Neodiprion lecontei: one gene and its partners. The protein of the gene in region 2 interacts with the protein of the main gene of each other region in a pairwise test. Links are inferred from orthologs where the notes say so. Each region holds a gene or a part of one and is shown on either strand. Other genes may lie near its edges.

What was found.
Region 1: the proteins of nuclear factor NF-kappa-B p105 subunit (region 2) and akirin-2 interact in binary tests that used the Drosophila melanogaster proteins (3 or more experiments, as listed by UniProt). The link is inferred for Neodiprion lecontei from reciprocal best matches to the Drosophila melanogaster genes Rel and akirin.
Region 3: the proteins of nuclear factor NF-kappa-B p105 subunit (region 2) and protein grainyhead interact in binary tests that used the Drosophila melanogaster proteins (3 or more experiments, as listed by UniProt). The link is inferred for Neodiprion lecontei from reciprocal best matches to the Drosophila melanogaster genes Rel and grh.

The regions. Positions count from the first base shown.
Region 1 is NC_060263.1:15,142,409-15,149,201, forward strand, and holds akirin-2, read right to left. Parts: upstream 5,276-6,793; 5' UTR 5,025-5,275; coding exon 4,856-5,024; intron 3,966-4,855; coding exon 3,772-3,965; intron 3,677-3,771; coding exon 3,514-3,676; intron 3,410-3,513; coding exon 3,399-3,409; 3' UTR 3,353-3,398; intron 3,227-3,352; 3' UTR 612-3,226; downstream 1-611. Other genes in the region: arrestin homolog, read right to left, coding at 30-96. UniProt on the Drosophila melanogaster protein: Molecular adapter that acts as a bridge between a variety of multiprotein complexes, and which is required for embryonic development and for normal innate immune response.
Region 2 is NC_060260.1:2,031,195-2,039,033, forward strand, and holds the start of nuclear factor NF-kappa-B p105 subunit, read right to left. Parts: upstream 6,026-7,839; 5' UTR 5,935-6,025; intron 5,754-5,934; 5' UTR 5,688-5,753; coding exon 5,609-5,687; intron 4,832-5,608; coding exon 4,685-4,831; intron 4,597-4,684; coding exon 4,451-4,596; intron 4,335-4,450; coding exon 4,171-4,334; intron 4,076-4,170; coding exon 3,934-4,075; intron 3,814-3,933; coding exon 3,672-3,813; intron 3,594-3,671; coding exon 3,489-3,593; intron 3,344-3,488; coding exon 3,232-3,343; intron 3,000-3,231; coding exon 2,875-2,999; intron 2,785-2,874; coding exon 2,596-2,784; intron 2,470-2,595; coding exon 2,396-2,469; intron 2,324-2,395; coding exon 2,084-2,323; intron 2,014-2,083; coding exon 1,890-2,013; intron 1,808-1,889; coding exon 1,563-1,807; intron 1,469-1,562; coding exon 1,313-1,468; intron 1,156-1,312; coding exon 1,054-1,155; intron 969-1,053; coding exon 732-968; intron 640-731; coding exon 520-639; 3' UTR 1-519. Other genes in the region: protein BCL9 homolog, read left to right, coding at 7,309-7,317. UniProt on the Drosophila melanogaster protein: Transcription factor that plays a key role in the humoral immune response as part of the peptidoglycan recognition protein (IMD) signaling pathway.
Region 3 is NC_060260.1:39,038,024-39,042,812, reverse strand, and holds the start of protein grainyhead, read left to right. Parts: upstream 1-1,721; 5' UTR 1,722-3,225; intron 3,226-4,738; 5' UTR 4,739-4,789. UniProt on the Drosophila melanogaster protein: Transcription factor that binds a CNS-specific regulatory element of the Dopa decarboxylase (Ddc) gene. Also interacts with sequences adjacent to other transcription units, including Ultrabithorax (Ubx) and engrailed (en).

The DNA of each region.
Region 1 (6,793 bases), on a different chromosome or scaffold from region 2:
AAGTATTTTGGATGGTACTTGAAACTCACCATTTGGAGTAGTCTTCTTGAAAACCTTGATGGCCACGACATAGGCCAAGAACAAGAGAGGAAACATTTGACCGATAGTGTCGGACTGTAAAGAATCTGTGTAACCGAGCGTTGTTTCCCGCCCAGAAGTGACGGAGGCCTTCTGACGTACATCTACTCTTATAGATCTAATGGGGCTTCTTACTACGAAGCCATATCCAGACTAATGCGATTATACTATTGAATAAGTCTCTTAACAGGATCGGAATATAGGAATTTCAAGAAATTGGCTCGCTTTGTGACGTCTTCCATCCCATTCTATGACAATTTCTTTCTCCATTCTTCAGAGTCTGCGACAACAGTATCTTAGAATAGTTAAAGTACTCTTCAGTGAACTAAGAACTAGAGCTACTTTCATTAAGATCATACTTCAGTATTTCAAGCCGTGTTTAGAGGGGTGAAACGATTCGAAATCGAATTTCTATTGATAATTAGATCTACATTGATTATTTGCGTTGGAACGTTTTACAAGAGCGGGCTAAAATTTTTATACAAATAGAAGCATAGCAAAAGTGGATGTGGAATTATTTATAGATAGTCAGATAAAGATCAGTCTTAAGGTTTATATTTATTTCATTAATAAGTGTTTACATAATATTAATATGGAGGTATTTTTAATCATTGAAATCAAATCTTCCCTGATTTCTCCCAAGGAATTTACCTTAGCTGTTTTCTTCATCGTTGCTTCTTAATATAATCATTATTAATCATTAGTATTAGGTATTATTCATTATTCAATATACTAACTAAATTTATTTGTATTTCTTTTTGTTTTTTTTTTTCGTTTTGTTTTTCCCTTCCATATTTATACATCATTCATAATTTTTTTTCTCTTCACAATATTGTAACTTATTCTTCCTTGTCATCAGGATACATTTATGCTGCTTGACGAAATACTACGTACAATTTCCATTTTTTTATTTATTTACGTTTCTTAATATTAAAATTATTATAACGTACAGTTCGCGCAATAACTTTTGTTGATTTCAAGACTTACACAATCATTAATTTACATTTATTACCTAAGGTTTTACAATAGCTATGACAGTTTATCTGGTTTTCAGCATAGTCTTGCAGGAGTAATAAGATAATTGTACAAGTATTTAATCCCTTGTTGTACTACGATAAATACGAGTCGTTTTTCAAAGGATCGCAGTGTTTCTCGTTCCACAAGTTTTTCTTAGCTCAACAAAAGTTACTATGCTATCACTTGAACTAAATACAGTAATAAGATCAGAAGATGTGGCATTCTTGCCTGGTATTGAATAACAAGGTCGTCACTACGCCCCAAAATTCAAATATTATTGGCGAATTGTATTTAACTACTTTTTGTTCTCCAGTCAACTAGTTTCAAGTATCTGTTGATCGAACGAATAAAACTTAACGAATTTCAATTTGGCAAATAACGAAGCACGGCTCCTTAAATTTTCATTCAACAAAAAAAAAATAACTGTTTTCATAAACTCCTCATACTCTTTTGCTAAGTCTCTTCCTTGATACTTAGAATTCATCTTTCGTTCAATTGTTGAACGGCGTGAATAGCAGAGAAATATATATGGTAACCAAGACGAACTATCATTATCGGATTCATCTTGAGACAATTATGCGCCTAATTTATACCTATATATATGAATAGTATGTATACGTAAAAAAGAAAAAAAACGAACATCGCATATGTAGAATCATTATCAACTAAAAATAATTTTTTTTTCCAATATTATTTTTCTTTTTTTTTTAATTACGATGAATAGTAATAAGTAATAATTATAGCAGTGTTGGGTAATTGTAATAAATATGTCTAATAATAGGCACAGTAAATGTATGGGTAATAGTATGTATATTCATTATTCTGCATTTAATTTCATTATGCTATGGCAAGTTGCTGTTGTCAGGGAAAAAATTATAACAACAACAATAATAGTAGTAATAATAATAATAATAATAATAATGACAATAATGTGAAAACAGTATCAGTTCTTTTTGAATTTTCGCCCTAGCATGGTGCACAGTTCTTTTTATAAATTTTCTACTTCTTCAAACGCGTATAATTTAAGAATACACTTATAAATGCTACATTTCAATAAGAAGGAAAAATCAAAGAGAAAAAATAAAGCAAGGATGAAAAATTTATCTACCAGCAGAAAACTTTTGTTTAAAGAGGGAAAGGTCAAGATGACAAATTAAAAGCTCTAATAAAAGTATGAATGCAATACCCCGAAATAAGGGAATATATTCGTTAAAAAATACATTCTTTATAATTTTGAGATTGACCTAATAACATAGCATTACAAAAACGTATATACCTATATATCACCATCCAAATATGCAGATTTTACTTGTTATTATAATTGCGAGAGTAGAGAAATAAAAATATTAGAAAATGATTATAACATAATCAATTGTTGCAAGAGAAATTTCATCGGGACTGACGAAATCAATAAATCACGTTACACCTTAGATTTCACATCATTGATCGATATTCAAAGTAACTCTGACCACCACCAATCTTATTCCGTACGTTACTAATTGTTGTGGATCAGTTGGGAGAAATTGATGTTACAATCGATCGTATGTAATCAGATCCTTATCGAGAGGCTTTACAGTTGATTTGCAAAAATTGGTTTCAGGAAATTCGAAGAGTAGGAAATTCACACCACCACGGTGTATGTAGTATCAATACCAGATCACATGTATGCAATTTATTTACAAATACTTTTATACTTGTGCTACTTTAGCTTTGTAAATTTTCTATTTGATTCCCTGATAACAGCGTACTTTGAAAACCGGATGGTACAAATATGGTTAATTTAGTAGTATACGTTGTCGATTTTTTTTAGTCTGGTCGCTCTCCGCAAGTGAGCCTACTTCTATAACTTACTTTCCTATATACGCATATATATACATATATGTCAGGGTACACACACACATATATATATATATACGCACACCTCATTACCTTTTTTGAAATGTTTTTATTTATTGATATTTTTGTTAAATTATTTAATTATGTTTTTTGTTGCATCTGTTTATTTTATACTTCGAATGAAATTACTTTTCAAATTTAATCAACCCATGTCTCCACAGCGAGGTAACATCACCGCGCATTTCTTCCCTCATAACTCCAAGCAAAATTATTTTCTCACTTATATCATAGAAATCTGTAATGAGAAAACCACTAGAGTATCTTTTGACAATAACAATTGAATCATTCGCCGCATTACCTAGACGATTATCATGTAAAGTCACGATTCAACTTTACAGAATATACATGCTAGGATACTTACCTAACGTTCTTTGAAGAAACACATCCGTGGAAGTGGCAAATCTCCTTTAGGACAAATCTACAAATTTATCAAACATTAGAAAAAACACAATGCATGTGAGTCACCAGTCTTGAAATCAGGAGTTTACAAGTTTACAAGTTTCCAAGTATTCAATAACTCACAACTCGGTGCAGCCGCAGATTCAAATCTCTTCTGAATCTGATCATAGGTGAACTTAACGAATGCGTCATACTGCTCGGAGAGCTTCATGTTGAGAATCTGGTCATATTCTTCTCGGATCTGCGTCTCCTGTTCCTTCAGCATCCGCTCGCAGATCAATCCCACCTAAACACAAGTTGGTTAACCATTATTTGTAGCAAATAAACGATCTCACAATTATGTCGATATCCATTCATTCTTTATTTTGAAAATACACCCACCTGTCTAAATGTGAACAGTGGTTTTTCTTTGCCGCTTGGGCTATGACTGTAAGCACTAGGCCCACTAGTCGATGGACTGGCTGGACCTTCAGTATCTGAAGAATCTCCACCATTGTTGTTTTGCGGGTTGAAATGCAGCTGCTTGCGCCGGTGAAGCCTGCGGATCTCTTCTCTAATATTGGCAGCCATTTTTTCTATGAAAACATTTTACGGCATTGGTGTAAACAATTCAGATACCTGACCTCAGTTTCTTAGACTGAATAACCAAGCCTGACGGATCGCAATCACAATTGCAACCAGGCATTGTTTTGATTGATGATGTTCAAATAACGGATTGTGAAATTACTTGAAAATAATAAATAAGAAAACCGAAACAATATTAGGTCTTTGCAACATCATTTCCAAGTTATTGGTAATGGCTGAAAGAGGTTAGTAAGAAGGCTTAGTTCTCATGTAAATGTACAAGTTGAGTAACAAACTCCATGCATTCATTCAAAATTTTCACAGTTATGCAAATAGTAAAGTTGCAATAGTCTGCCTTTACGGTGGTCGAATTTTGATGGGTATTTTCAATAGATTCGTGGTAACGCATCAGACTGAGCATGGAAATGCTAATATTATGTCTGATGAATACGTAAATGAAGATTACAAACATACGATTCGGCTTGGTCCTTTTTCTCCCGTTTCGAACTTCGACATTATTGAATGAAATAATGCCTGGGTACGCAAAACTCACACAATGGGGAATTTTTTTTTAGTGACATAGAAGCGCGTTTGAACACCGAGGTGATGAGGGGAATTGTCGAATGAGAAAAAACTTTGTGAAGAAAAACGGTCATTCTAACGTATATTTCAAATTGCGCGATGAGTGGAGGAAAACCAGTTTGAAAGCTGTTTGTAAAAATAGTGAAAATCAGCAGCGACCGTTACGTCGGTATCTCCATATGATTTGCGCTCCCCTCACCCCACTTCACGCCTCCGGCCATAGTATATACGGGTTTTAAATCGCTATACATCTACGTTTGCAGCTAGCTTCCCCCTTTAACACCCCGTGATAAAAAAAAAAATGGCCGAATATAATTACCAGGCGTCAATTTTTGTGTAACTTCGCCGAAAGCTGATGGGTTCTGATTCCTCGCCGGCGGTGTGTTTGGCGACATGCACATCGGTACGCATCTTCGCCTCTTCGAAGGCCTTACGTGGCTGTGAACGGGGTCGAACTCGAGTGATCGCTTCAGGGTGGCGCAGGCCATTTTTACTCTTCACAGTCTCGTACGCGACTGACACCAAAAAATCGCCGAGGAACCGCAAAAGGCGTTTTATTTCCCGAAAATATATCGGTACTACAAATTGCACAGTATTCCCTTTTCGTTTAGCGGTCTCGTCGAAGACTTTCGACAAGTTTCCAGGCTGATTCAACTGGATTTTAAGACTGGCCACCGCAGCACCAAAACAAACACTGCAGTAAAACAATATGGCCTCCTCCGTCGTCACTTCGTCAGCCGCAGCGACTTGAACATTTTCCATAACGTTTACCTAGCCTAGTCTGCCATTGGTCATCTCTCCGCGTTTTCTCATTGGTCGAGCCGTTGCATCGTGCGTCACGACGCAGCTGCATCGATAAGGAAGGGCAGGGGTGGCCGATCGAAACGGTTCATTCGATATTCAGCCTACGGCAGCGCCGGCAATAGTCACGTGGTATGCAGATGCAGCTGTCAGCTGTCGCACGTGACTGACGCAAATTGCACGCACGCGTTAAAGATGCACGGAATGGCAAAAAATCATATCTCGACCAACTGACTGCAGAGAATGATGCTTGCAAATGCAAAGAATAGATTTCGAAACTGGGCAGAGTTAAAAATGAAAATAGAACGCTGAAAAAATGCGCGATAAATTGACATCCGCTCAAGGATAATTTGAATTTTCATCGATTTGCAAAACAAACTTCTTCGAATCTTTTAGGATTTGCAGGATCGATTTTGAAACGATAATCTGAATTTTTCGAATGTGCTGCACAATTTACTTGTGTGAAAACACTGTTTGAAGAACTAAAAAACTTGCCTCGACCGTAACAGGACTCGAACCTGCAATCTTCGGATCCGAAGTCCGACGCCTTATCCATTAGGCCATACGGTCTGTTGATAGTCTAGGCCGTAGAATTGTACGTATCTTCATGATAAAAATTTCTTTAACAACCTTGTGCAAATTCAGCCCTACAGGAACAAAATCAATATAAGTTTCCGTACGACATATTTAAAATATAAAATGATTTGCATGTGATAAATTTGAAGATCATTTATTGTTTTACAAAGGCCTGTGAGGAACTGTATTGTTACAAAAAATCATTTCAATCTTTAATTTAAGGTCCTGTGACAGCCTACCCTTACCGACCAAGCAAACTCATCCCTTTTTTTCCAATATTAAATCAACAAATGAACGGAAAGGCTTGAAGTTTCGACGATGCATCGCTCTTTCATGGCGGAATTCAAAAATGTTACTCATATCTTGAAAAGCATTAAATAGATGAGTGGTTTTTTGAAACACGTTACTATTTAAACAGTTCCCGCATTTCAAGGGCCAATAAGTGCACAGTTGAGATACCTTCCGCAATTCTAGAAAGGATGAGGACTAAAATAAGCCATCGTGAGACTGTTTTCATGTAATATTGAAGTCGCTATACGAAAACTAGGGATACAAATAATTTCGTAAATAAAAAATGCTCTAGCGATCAGCTGGGCGCGAAGTTCCTTGGTTGGTATGGTCGCCCCAGCACAGCATGAGAGCGTCTTTTATCTACAAAATTACCGTAAATCCTAGTTTTCGTTGAGCGGCCTTAATATTGCATGAAAGCAGTCTTGCGATGTCTCATTTTATTTCTCATTCTTGCCGGAATTGCGGAAAGTATCTCAACCATGCACTTTTTGGCCCCTGAGATGCGAGAAATGTTGAAATAGTAAAATGTTTAAAAAAATCACGTTTTTGATGATTTTTGGAATACGAGTAACATTCCTGAATTCCGCTA
Region 2 (7,839 bases):
TATGATTCAAAATGATAAAATACTTACATGCTATATTAAATGGCAGGTTTATATATTTTGAAGTTAAATGCAAATTCTTCTGACCATCTTTTTTCAGATATGTAATAATAATAAGAGAGTTATAATAATGTTGATATACGTTGACAGTAAAATTATACACAAACAGCTATTTTATGTAGTAAAATAATAATTTATCAGCTAAAAGAAACATCGATTGGTTCAGAATTATAAAAACTATGACTTGGAAAAATGTTCAAAGTTCAATCTATAGTCCTCACTCTGGCATATATAAATTTTACATTCTTATTAAATTAAAATATCCTGTTTCTGTACTTACAAATGCGAAACCTCAGTGTATACTCAATATTACCGGTATTTTGTAATCAATTAATCAGCTATTTACATTAATCACGCGAAATTATAGCAAACGTAATCTGGGATATGCTTTTATTATTACCTTATTAAGTTTTTGGAGTAATTAGCTGATTTTAAAATAGCTATATGTTGCTGATGTTAAATTCATTTTGTACTTGATGTATTCCGTCGCAAAATCATCTCATCGATTATATCAACAGCTTTAGTTTCATTTAATTCAACCAATAACGTTCGTAATTTTTTGATCGAAACTTCAGCTTGTATCTAAAAAAATAATACAAGATACAGCTTATTAAATTTTTGCATATAATTCGTATGACAAAACCAACGATAAATAAAGTCATCGAAGTACTTACGTCTAAGTAGTTTAATAACATCCGCGATGGACTGACGGGGCCTGAAGTTTCGAGCGAAGACTGCAGAAAATCATATCCCAAAGATGTGACGATTTTTTCCCATGCCTTCGATTCGTCGAGTATGGGAACTAGAAGAGTCATAGCTTTTTCGTCCAGCAAAGTACCGTCACTTTCCTCGGGTACGTCCTCGATTTCTTGTTTTATTATCGTATTAGTCGCAGAAAGCAATTGTAAAATCTGTAATTATTTCCGTGGCATTGAGACCTTAGTGCGTAGCCATACACGTACAAAAGCGTACGATTTTTCAAGGAACCCAATTTACCTCAGGTTTGTTTGATGCGAGGTCAAACGACGTTTGACCACTTTCCTGGGCATCTTCATCATCGGATATCGCTTCATCTTTTATAGTTGTTGTTTGCAACTCCTATGAATTTAATAACAGGACGAAATGAAATTTTTTTGTTTTAATTATCAGTACAATTATCTACGAGTCTTCGCGGCAGTCGAAGGAACAGGATAATCTCTTTGATCTTAACAGCTTTGTTGATCGCAAAAGATTTCTAGAAAATAAAAAAACTCACTTTCGACGAATCGCGATTATTATTAGGTATCGAGGGATTCGCCCCGTGATTCAACAGAAGCTTGCAGAGCTCCTCAGCTCGTTCGCCGGTGTTGACGACAGCACTGTGCAGCGCGGTGTTTCCACTGAAATTCCGCTTATTTACGTCGATTGTCGTCTGTGGAGAATTGACATACAAAGTGCTCAGAAAAAGTATAAAATAGAGTTTCAACGATTATTTTGATTTCACAATATAAATTAACACTACCTACCTTTTCTAACAGGAATTCAACGATTTCTTTGTGGCCACCTTCGACGGCGATGTGGAGTGCTGTACGCCCGTAAGACATATCGGTACTGTTAACATCAACGCCAGCTTTGACAAGAGACTTGACAGCGTGTAGCGATCCGGCTTCAGCAGCCAGATGAAGAGCGGTCCAGCCAGTATCATCTCGTGTTTCGACGCTTATACTTCCTCCTTCTAATAGTGCGTCCACACAGTGACCCGCCTCTGGGACTGTTTGGGACACAAATAATCGATTAGTATGCAAACAATTAGTTTATTCGTTGGGAATAAATTATTTCATCAATTCACGCACTTTTGACCGCCTTGTGAAGCGGTGAAAAACCGTGATCATCGCACGCGCTTGCATCCGCCCCAATCAAGAGCAGAGCCTTTGTTACTGCAGGTTGGTTTTGTTCTACGGCGTAATGTAAGCATGTCTAAAATATAGAGCAATATTAGTGAATTGAAAATATTACATTTCCGCGGGTTAATCGTAATAAAACTTACACGGCCAGAACTTGTTTGAGAGTCGACAATTTGCTTGAAATCCGGGTACTTTGCAAGTAACATTAGAATATATTTAACTAAATTCATTTGTCCGTGTCTTAGCGCGGAATGGAGAGGAGAATCTCCATAGACTGTGCGCTCTTTGAGCAACGCTAGTATGCGTTCCTTTCCATTTGGATCATTTTTCTGAAGTATAATTCGAATTTGTTTTACAATATTCTCCGCAAACGAAGCCGTTTCCTGAAAACATGTAAACATTATACAATTGTTTCTTCTTTGTCATTTTGATACGACTAATTAAATGTTGCTTACTTTTTTTTTCAAAGGCCCATCTAATCTCAGTTCTTCATTATCATTTACTTCCTTTGGCAGTAAATTGATGTACTCTGGGGATAAACAAAGATTTACACATTTTGTATATAACTCATCATCTATTCACCGTCTATACTGATGGAAAAATTTTTGAAACATGCGAGCATAACAAACACGTGTCTCGGTGTTTAAGTGCTCACCTTCTAAGTCCAGATTTTCAGAGTATTCCCGAAACTCGTTTGATGTACAATGCTCACTCAACAATTTGTTGATTTCACTTGAATTATTTACGTTGAAAATGGATGTGCCTTCATCCGATTGCATGAGATTGATTGCGATAGGAGTTTGTAATTCAGTACTTTCGCAAGACATGCGCGGTCTCTTTCTACCTGTTCATAAATCAGGACATGTCAATGTTTTTGAATGAGAATTGGAAGCGAATATATTTGATGATAGTACATGTTGCAAATACGCCTTACCGATGCGGTTATTGGGTTTATAAGTGAACTGTAATGGATCGCTAGACTCTCCGTCAGTCGGTCTGCATAACTTTATAAAAACCTCTTTTGGTTCAGTTATATCTTTGTCTTTATACGGTGGCGTTCTGAAACACAAGTGATATATTTACAAAACGAATATAAACCGACCCTTAATTCTCTGACAGCAGTTCAGGGTGTTTTTTACTGTTACCCGTACATAAGACAGGTCCGCATATAAGACGAGGACAATTTTGGTGGGTGCTGTCAATGATTAAAAAAAACCTCGGCTTATATTTGGGACAATACGATAATATTCTGTCAATTTTTAATTTATAGTAATTGAATGTTCAAACTGACCGAAACACTATCGCGTATTGATGATGAACATCTAACTCTGTGAAGTGGCCTAAAGCGCTCCAAATTTCTACATTGTTTTCATCCATTTCAAAGAATTTGATTACGATGTTTTCTGTAACATAAGAATGAGAATCTGAATACATATGGGACAATAATATTAATTCGATTAATCTTTCAACAGAGAACTTAATTCACTTCCAATTCAATATTATCTTTATTAAAACTACAATACGAGTTGTATAAACAACGATACTCACTTTTTCCCACTTTTTCTACCAGCATGAAAACTTCCTCGTTACCATCACAAGATCCTGCAGTTTTGTCGATTCTACATATCTTGAGCTCTCCCGTAAGGGCACTTTCTGTAATAAAAAGAACAAAAAATGGCAATAAAAAAATTCTGGTACCCAAATGATAGATGAATGGTCACTTCTACTCACTGAGATTATTAATCGGGTTCGAATACACTGGTTCTGTGATGGGACAAAGTACGCCATTGGCATTTGGGGTAAATGCTTGAAAGCATAATGCGACACTGTTCAGACTCATCCATTTTTGAGCAGCTTCTGCTTCCATTTTAATCTTTAACAGAAATTTTGCGTTCAAAGTTGAGTAAGCTAATTGAACGAAATAATTTGATATGCATAATAACATTGTATAATGTACTGGCAATGTATTATTATACAATATTTAATTTATTACCGTTGCTTCATCGCGGATGGTCAACGATGTGACATTAACATTTTTGCGTTTTGCTTCTTCTAAAGCCGTAATTCTTTTCTTTTTAACAAGCTCATCTTTTATGTGCTTTTTAGCAGTGTGGATGATCCCCATTCCGTGGAACCTAGATACAAGCTTAAGTTTTATGAATACATACTCCAACAATAATGAAGATAAATATTGTTGTCTTATGAATAAAAAATTAGACTGTTCACTTACGAGACTGTAAAACCTTGTTCGGGTGAAACCTTTTGCTCGTGCGGATCATCTTCGTCTGAATTTCCAACACGGCGTACCAGACGATGAGCATGTGGTCCCCTACGATCTGGATCTGCTGTTACAAGCGTACAGCGAATGACGGCGCTGCCTGGATAATTTTTCAGCTGGAACACCAGTGAAATAGTTATAATTATTTTATGACTAAACGAAGATAGCAAAAACGATGAATTGGAATATTTCAACAGGCAGATTCAATGAAACTCTGTTATTTTGTTTATACCTCAACAGTAGGTGCTTGCTTCTTGCGGCTGTTTGAGCTGTTGGCGCCAGCAAGACTCCCGTGGGTTCCCATCATCTCTGATTTGTATCGGAACCGAAACTTGTCTACTGGTTGTTCAATAATTTTTATATACCGGTCTTCCAACACTGCGAAGGTACAAGTACCGTAATATCATCACATTTGAATAAAACATTATGAAATTAATTTATTGAATAACCAAAAAGATGTACATACTCGTGCCAGTTACATTACTCAGTGTATAGTATGACATTGTGTGGTTTGGCGATTGTGATATCGACATCGGTGACGGAGTGCTGCTGGTCATTTGTGAATCCAGTGAGCTGTTGCTCGGACTCAACAGGCTGAGATTATTCATCATAACTGCACAAAGACATGTCAAATAATTCCACAATTTCTCCATTAAGATATTATTCGACTTGTTACAAGTGAACAGGCCATTTCTTTCGAATTGTCATAAACAAATCAGTTAGTGTAAACTTGTATACACGATATATTGAAATATCAGCGTTGCACTGATTGCTAAGGGAGATCGAAGTACACTTTGTCTATTCAGTTCAGATGTACGGCAACTGGTAAAATTAAAAGGTATCATAGGTAATTGTGGTTTTATAATATTGAACTACCGGAATCATGGATCTCGGTATATGTTATTGCGACACCTCTTATTACTGAAATAATGAATCACAGCTCTGTGCCTAAATCAAATAAAGAAACTGTACAATTTGTATTCTGATAAATTCCACGTTGGTAACCCAGAAACTATTTAGAGTTTGTTAGCATGATTATATACACCAGTGCGCGAATGAATATGTCGTACGTATTTCGGTAGTCAAAAAGTGGTTTATGTGTACATGGGAAGTTACAAGTGCATAATTTTATCATTAGTGCAAATCGAACTGAAGTCATCTCCGTTCTAAATTTCTGCAGTATATCACAGCAGAAATATTTAAGTAACACAATATGTACCATTGACTGAAAACATAGCGGAGGTTTCAGCATCAATTTGAACAAACGGAAGCGAAATTGGAGAAATGATATGAATAAAGAGAATGAAATTAGGAAATGGTTGAAAGATTGTACCCAGTAGCATCCTGGAAATATGATACACAATCTCAAAAAGAAATTTCGTCTAATTACCATCAGGAAACGGATAAATCTGATCCTCCTGTTGATTATAGTTCTGGAAGACGTCCAAGTTTTCGTAAACTTGCGGCATGTTTATTTGGTACTGTTTTTCTTTTTGGTTAATCGTAATTGCTACGCGAACGCGGCGCCGATTGCACTATAATCAAAATAAACTGCGTCGTTTATACCTTAGTTTATACGTGGCACAAAAAAGACGTGAACTATTCTCCACGCGCATAAGCGCAACGTAGAGACGAAACTAGCGCGGTGATTATTTTTAAGGAGAGAAACAAGGACCGTTTCGATTTCAACTTTACAGACCTGGATGTGTTACTCACCGTTTATCAACTAACTAATACTTTTCGCATACGTCAACGACATAACCTTGATGGATGCACTCCGGGTTCTTCCCCGAGGATACGGTCCAATCAGCTCCAATCATTCCTCCCCGCCCTGGTCACGTGGTCCGGTCAACGATTTCCGAGAAGGATGGGGGAATTCCCCCGTCCTTGTTGTTCACGCAGCCAGGCGCGCGCACGTGACGCGTGTTCAAACTTAGTCGCGGAGCGTGCGAAAAATTATACATTGAATAAGATATGTAAACGAGGTTAAAGCATAAATTGATGAATTGTTTCACTATACTGCTATTTGCATGCTTATTAATCCAGCTGTATTTATATATCAACAAGTAATAATATGTATATATGGTTTGCAGTAGGCCAGCACAGGTTTCCAATTGATGAGTAATTTTATTACACGAATGAAACGTCGCTAACGAAATTGAATGATTACGATATTAACTAGATTTGTATGCCGTTGACGTTGAAAAGAATTTAATTTCAAAACCGAAAAGCAGGCAACCCGCATCCCTTACCAAGAGTGACCACTAATTAGTGGTGTAGATGTCAAACATCATACAACGTCGGTTTATGTACAATAGATTTTTTACAATTTCGTTTTCATCATAATTTATTTGAATTTATTGCGTATCAGTTGAACTTCAGAAGAGATTTCATACCCAATGCGCACGATAATCCTGATGGGCCACTAGGCGCCAAAAATAATGAGCTGTAATGATATTTCACAGACTTGAGCATGTCGATTGATATGAATTTTCTGTACGGTTCTGCGAGGAATTCATTCCCAGCATTTTCAGCCGTGTAGAAATTGATTATTGGAAGTAGGAGGAAAGAAAAATACATGCTAAAGTGTCAGAAACCGTTGCGTTCGATTTTGGATAGAAAATTTGTTTGCAACCGACTTTTAGTAAGGGTGCCTCATTACTGTGATTCCTACAATCAGTCGGTTCGACTAGCCCTAATGAGAGGATTATATATTACCCTATTGGCCAAATTTGAGGTTTCCAGTTTATCCCCTCCCTGGGACTCCGCCAATGACAAGATGCTGGGCTAACCCAGGTCTAAAATCAGATGCGTATGTACTTGTTGAGTAGTCGGTACCCGAGAGCCGAGGTTGCCAGTTTTTGTGTCAACAGTTATGGCGACGATTGTGTCCCCGATCGTGTGAAAATAAACTTACCGCTCAATTTTGGGGCTTTATTTCTTTTGCAATAATCATTGTATCTCTCTTGTACGTCTTTTGACATGATCGGCGAATGATAATTGTATATTTTTAATAATTCGCTACGTATGAACAAAATCACCCACACGCATCTCTAGATAATTACTATAAAAACACCCCCCGGTCGAAAAATGTCAAAGGTACTTTATCCTTGTAATCACATGTTTACAAACAGATACAACATACTGTGTGAATTTAATTTCCATACTGTTTCAAAGGTGACACACTTGTTGGTGGAATAAACCTGTATCATACATTGCTATTCTTGAAATTCATTCTGAGCATAATTCGTCAACCAATTTCTCAAGGATTACTGAGTTTAATCAATCATGTAGATGTAATGAGATTCTTAAATTAATTGTGAACAAGGCAAAAATTATAAAGATTGATAAAGAACCATCCCTATCAGTGCAAAATAAGATGTAGAATCATTGTTATTAGTACTTCCATATTATTGCCATGTGTATAAACCAATTCGTGTACAAAGTATTCAAAATCTGTTTCTGCTGGAAAAATAACTGTACATTATGCAACAAGGGAATAAAGTCGAACTCGCTTCGCTGAGGCGATAAGCCCACCCGCGCGGATAACCGATTTTTATCCCTGTGTTATTGACTTGAGAAATGGGACTCGATATTTTTCGCAATATTGTCTTTAGAATT
Region 3 (4,789 bases), about 37 Mb from region 2:
ACAAGCAAATTGTTCGCGATTGTAGTTGAACTACATGTACATATGTACAAATATACCGATTGTTGTATACGCGTGCAATTGAAAATTTTCTATACAAATGGAATATACAATTCTACGCGAATTACAACACATCTACAATATCGCGTACCTATACAGCGTTTACGTAGGTATTATAGATATACGTGTGATACGAAGTTGTGTTACAGTCCGCAGCGTCGGATCGGAGGAGCTGTATACCTACTCTGCAGCCTCCGGTATTTATCTCTATATCCTCTCTACCCCTTGGGTGCGCACCTATGTGTAAAAGTGTTTTTATTTGTATATTTTTTTTTTTCTCTTTCCTTCCATCGCGTCGTTCTTGTTTCTCTTATTCAATTTTATTTCTGTTTTAATATTACACGTACACGTGTATATATATATATATACATATATATACATATATAGGTATACCGTATACCTCTTATCGTTTACTTTTTTATATTATACATGTATACGTATTACACGCACACACAGTCGCCAGGCACGGTTGCGCGCGTATTAGGTTATACATCTCGCTTCGTCTTTTAATTTTGTCCGACGTCGTGCGTTCTTATTTTTACTCTTTCGATAACCCTTCCCCCCCCCTCCCTATCGCCCCCGTCCCGCCGCCGTCTCCCCCGCCTTTTTATCCCCCCACTCCGCCTCTCACCCCACCCACTATATAGCTGCTATACGGTGAACGTCTCGCGCGCAAGGAAGAAAATTTCTACCGCCCGCGCGCGCTAGCGTGCGCGCGTGTGTGTGTCTGTAGTAACGATGTGTAATACACGCGTATAGGTGCGTATTGTAACGCACATGGATTCGAGGTATCTTCGTCTACGGTCGGCGGAGCTGTACCACGCGGTTATCCTCGTCAAGAGATGTGAGCCGCGGTGCCGAGATGAGAGACGGAGGATACAATAAAATAATGCCCCTTTGGTCCCCGCGGCGGTCGGTTGTCTTCTCTCCCTCTCCCTCTCTCTCTCTCTCTCTTTCTCTCCTCCTCCTCCTCCTCCTCCTCCTTCAACGAACAGAGCGGACCGACCGCGTTCGTTCGTTAGCTCGACGACTCTCGACGCCCGCGTCTTTGGATATCCTTACCAGTTTCCTCCTCGATATCCGCACCGCGGCGGCATGCATCGCACGCAGGCGTTTCGTACCCGTCATATCTTGCGCCGTTTCACGACCGCCGTCCACCGCCTGCTTCAAGCCCGACCTCAGCGTTTTCGTCCTGCGGCTCACGGGGATCCGCAGCTCTCTGTATTGGTGAACGCGTGAACCTCCGTCTCTCCCACCACTCCGTTCTGCCCATCGCACGCACTCCTCCGAGTTCCTCTCCTCCTCGTCGGGCGCGGCTGCCGGGCTACCTGAACGCTGCCGCTGCCGCTGCTGTTGCAGCGCGTCGATTCTCGTCTCCGCCGCAGCCTCCGGGCCCGATTCTCTCTCACTCTCCGTTCTCCCTCTCTCTCTGTTTTCCTCTTTTTCTCTCTTTCTCCTTCTCGACCTGCGCGGAGGGGTGAGTGGGAGAAACACCGCGACGGGATTAATGCCTAGAGGTAGGAAGGAGGGCGGCGGCGGCGGCGGCGGAGCGAGAGGAGCGAGTCGCGGGGTGGCGGTAGCGGGCGGGGGGGGGGGGGGGGGGGGGAGGAGGTGGAGAGGAGAGGAGAGGAGAGGGCCGGGATGCTGGGCGGCCATATTGCCTCTCCCGAGAGAAGAGACTCCGGCGAGGTCCTCCGAGCAGCGTTCCTTCGGTTATACGTGTTCCCTGTGTAGCCACCAGCTCACGATCAGCGGCCCCAACTTTGGTGTGGAATATACAAGCCCAGGCTGGCCTCCGCAGTCCGGCAGGACGCTGGTAGTCACACATCCACTCATCCAGCCTCTGGATCATCGTCTGACTCGCTCCTCCGTTAACGGGCGAACATTACGAAAAACGCGCCAGGATTAAATATACGCGTTGTATACACTTGATCTACGCGAAAATACCTAATCACGCGGTTCCCTGCACGTCTAATATACACAGATCGTATATACAACATCATTGTATCGACCATCCTACGCGTGCAACCGCGCGTGCCTGTGTGTGTGTACGTGTGTATGTGTATGTGCTTGTGTGTGTGTGTATATACATATATATATATATGTATGTATGTATAATGCCTTGTGTCATCTGTGTACATTTATAACTGTCTCTAAACTTGTCCGCGGGTGCGTCGCCGATCAATCGATGTATAAACACCTCGTCTACGTTATACCGTACGCTGTACGCATCGACGTATCTCGTACATGCAATTCCTGCGGTATACATACACGTGGACTATAGCTACGCGTGTGTGTGTGTGTGTTATTCGTATAAAAACCGCGCGTGCATTATTGTATATATATATATACATACATATACGGTTGTAATGCCTGCAGTGGAAGAAAGGAATAAATTATACCTGTGTTAAAAGTGTCGTTTGATTTTGAAGGGGAATAATCGTCGTAACGACGACGACAACAGCAACAACAACAACAACGACAACAACAACAGAGCATCGTTAACAAAGATAACAATAACAATAATAATAATAAAAGAAACGAGATAACAAAAAAAGAAAAAAAAAAGGAACTAAACTATAATGTTCTTATTGTTCTTGTTGTTCTTTATGCCGCAGCAGTACTGTACCTCGTTCAATTTTGACACGTAAAGAAACAAGAAAAAATAAAAACAAACAAACAACAATCTCACGGCGGGAGTAATAATTGTGTTAAAGTGACATATGCGTAGAGAGAGAGAGAGAGAGAGAGATAGATAGAGAGAGGAAAGTTGGATCTGCAACGCCTCGTGCAATATACGCGTATTATACATATATACATGTATACCAGTAAGCGTGCGGCAGAGTTATCGCACGCGTGAAACGCGGACAGCTGATAATAATTGGGCCTTACTGCGAAATTGAACGCGGGGCCGCGAAAGGTGCGCGACGATATTGCACTTGAGTGCAGTGCGGCGGCAGCAGCAGCAGCAGCCTGGATGAACGATTAAGAACGGGCCCGGTATAGCTAAGCGTGAGAGAAGAAACCGCGGAGATGTGATCCAGAGACTGGGAGATAGCCGGTAGTTTGTAGTTCACCTATCCCACGAACATGCAGCCTCCCGTCTGCATCAGCATCCCAGCCGAGAGGAATCACACCTTCGATCTTAACTAAATGCAACCCAAACGAGTGAGTACCTTTACACCTTATACCGTACATTGTTATTTTATATTATATATCCTGCGACGCATTGAAACTAGCGTGGGTAATATTTTAACGAAGATCAGTAATTGTATAGCCGCGGACTTACGGAGCGACGATCCAGCGCCCTCTTCGATTCACATCACACGATATTATTGTTTCTGTCCATAGCATGTTACGAAAATATGATGCGTAGTTTTACTTTTCCACCTTGTATCCAGATACTAACATCGTACACTGATACCTGCAGCCTCTCGGTCACGTACGTTTATTTTTTATTTTTTCAAATAAATTCCAACTCTCTATCACCAGCTAATTATCCCGGACTCGGATACACCGCGTCTCTTTATCCGTTCCTCGGTCCGATCACGTGACACCTTTACCATCGCACAACATCGAGGAAGAATCGAACGTACCAGATACGGCTGAAGATCGATCGAATTCCATGCGCGCAATTAGACGACCAGTAGTATGTTTATACACACATATACGTATACATGCATACATATATGTATATATATATATATATATATATATATATATATGACGGTAAATCGCAAGAGGTAGAAAAGTCAGGTCCGAAGGATGCTTGCAAACTTTTTGGCACTGTGCGGTAGTCGTTTTACGCGGGGAGGGTCCGACACTCGGTGGTACCAGGAGCAATTGGTGACACTGCACTGTTGGTAAACGCGAGCGGGCAAGTCCGGAGCTTCTGGTTCTTCGGCACACTGTCCATCCTCCGTTTGTTGAGCTGCCGCTGGTTGAGAGGCAACGACGTCGGCCGCGGTCGCGGTCGCGGTGGCGAGGGCGTACCTGAGCTCCGTTACCTATACTTGAAATACAAACAGGCGCAAGAGGTGGGCCCACAACCTGACGCAGGGTCCCTTTCGGAATCAGGTTAGACCGGCCTAACCTGCTCCTCGCTCGCACGCGGCTTTGTATAATCTATGGTGCTGCAACACCACCCGCCACTCGGTCCCCCTCCGATCTTTTTCTCGTTCTCTCTTCCTCGATCGGTAGCATTTAACAGTTCGCACCGCGATCCTAGGCTCCTCGTCGATCTCGTCTCTCCCTCTCTCTTTCCCTCCGCATCAGCCGATCTTCACCGGCAGTCAATATCCTCCTCGCCTTCCTTCCTCATTGTCCCGACCGGCGGGCCGCAGGTGCATACCTGATTCCCGGTCGATCCACGTCCTCCTCTACCTGCACCGACGGGTCCCCGTGCCCGGCCCCCCCCCCCCCCCCCCCCCCCCGCCCCGCGTGAGTTGTTACCGATTTTCGGAGTAGGCCAAACGAAACCTGCGGAGGTGAAACCTGTTGGGTCCGAGACCAGTTCCGAGGCTGCAGGGAGAAGAAGATCGTGTAACTCGAATTGTATGGATCGGGAGGGGAAAAAGACGAGATCGGACGATCGCTGACGAGTCCTTGTAATACCTACGATGTGTCTTGCCAACCGAGTGAACCCAGGTCAATGTCTCTTTTCCTTGTTCTCTTTCCGCAGATCTCTTCCTCCAACGTGCCATACATTCTTCAGCAGCCTGTGATACAAGAC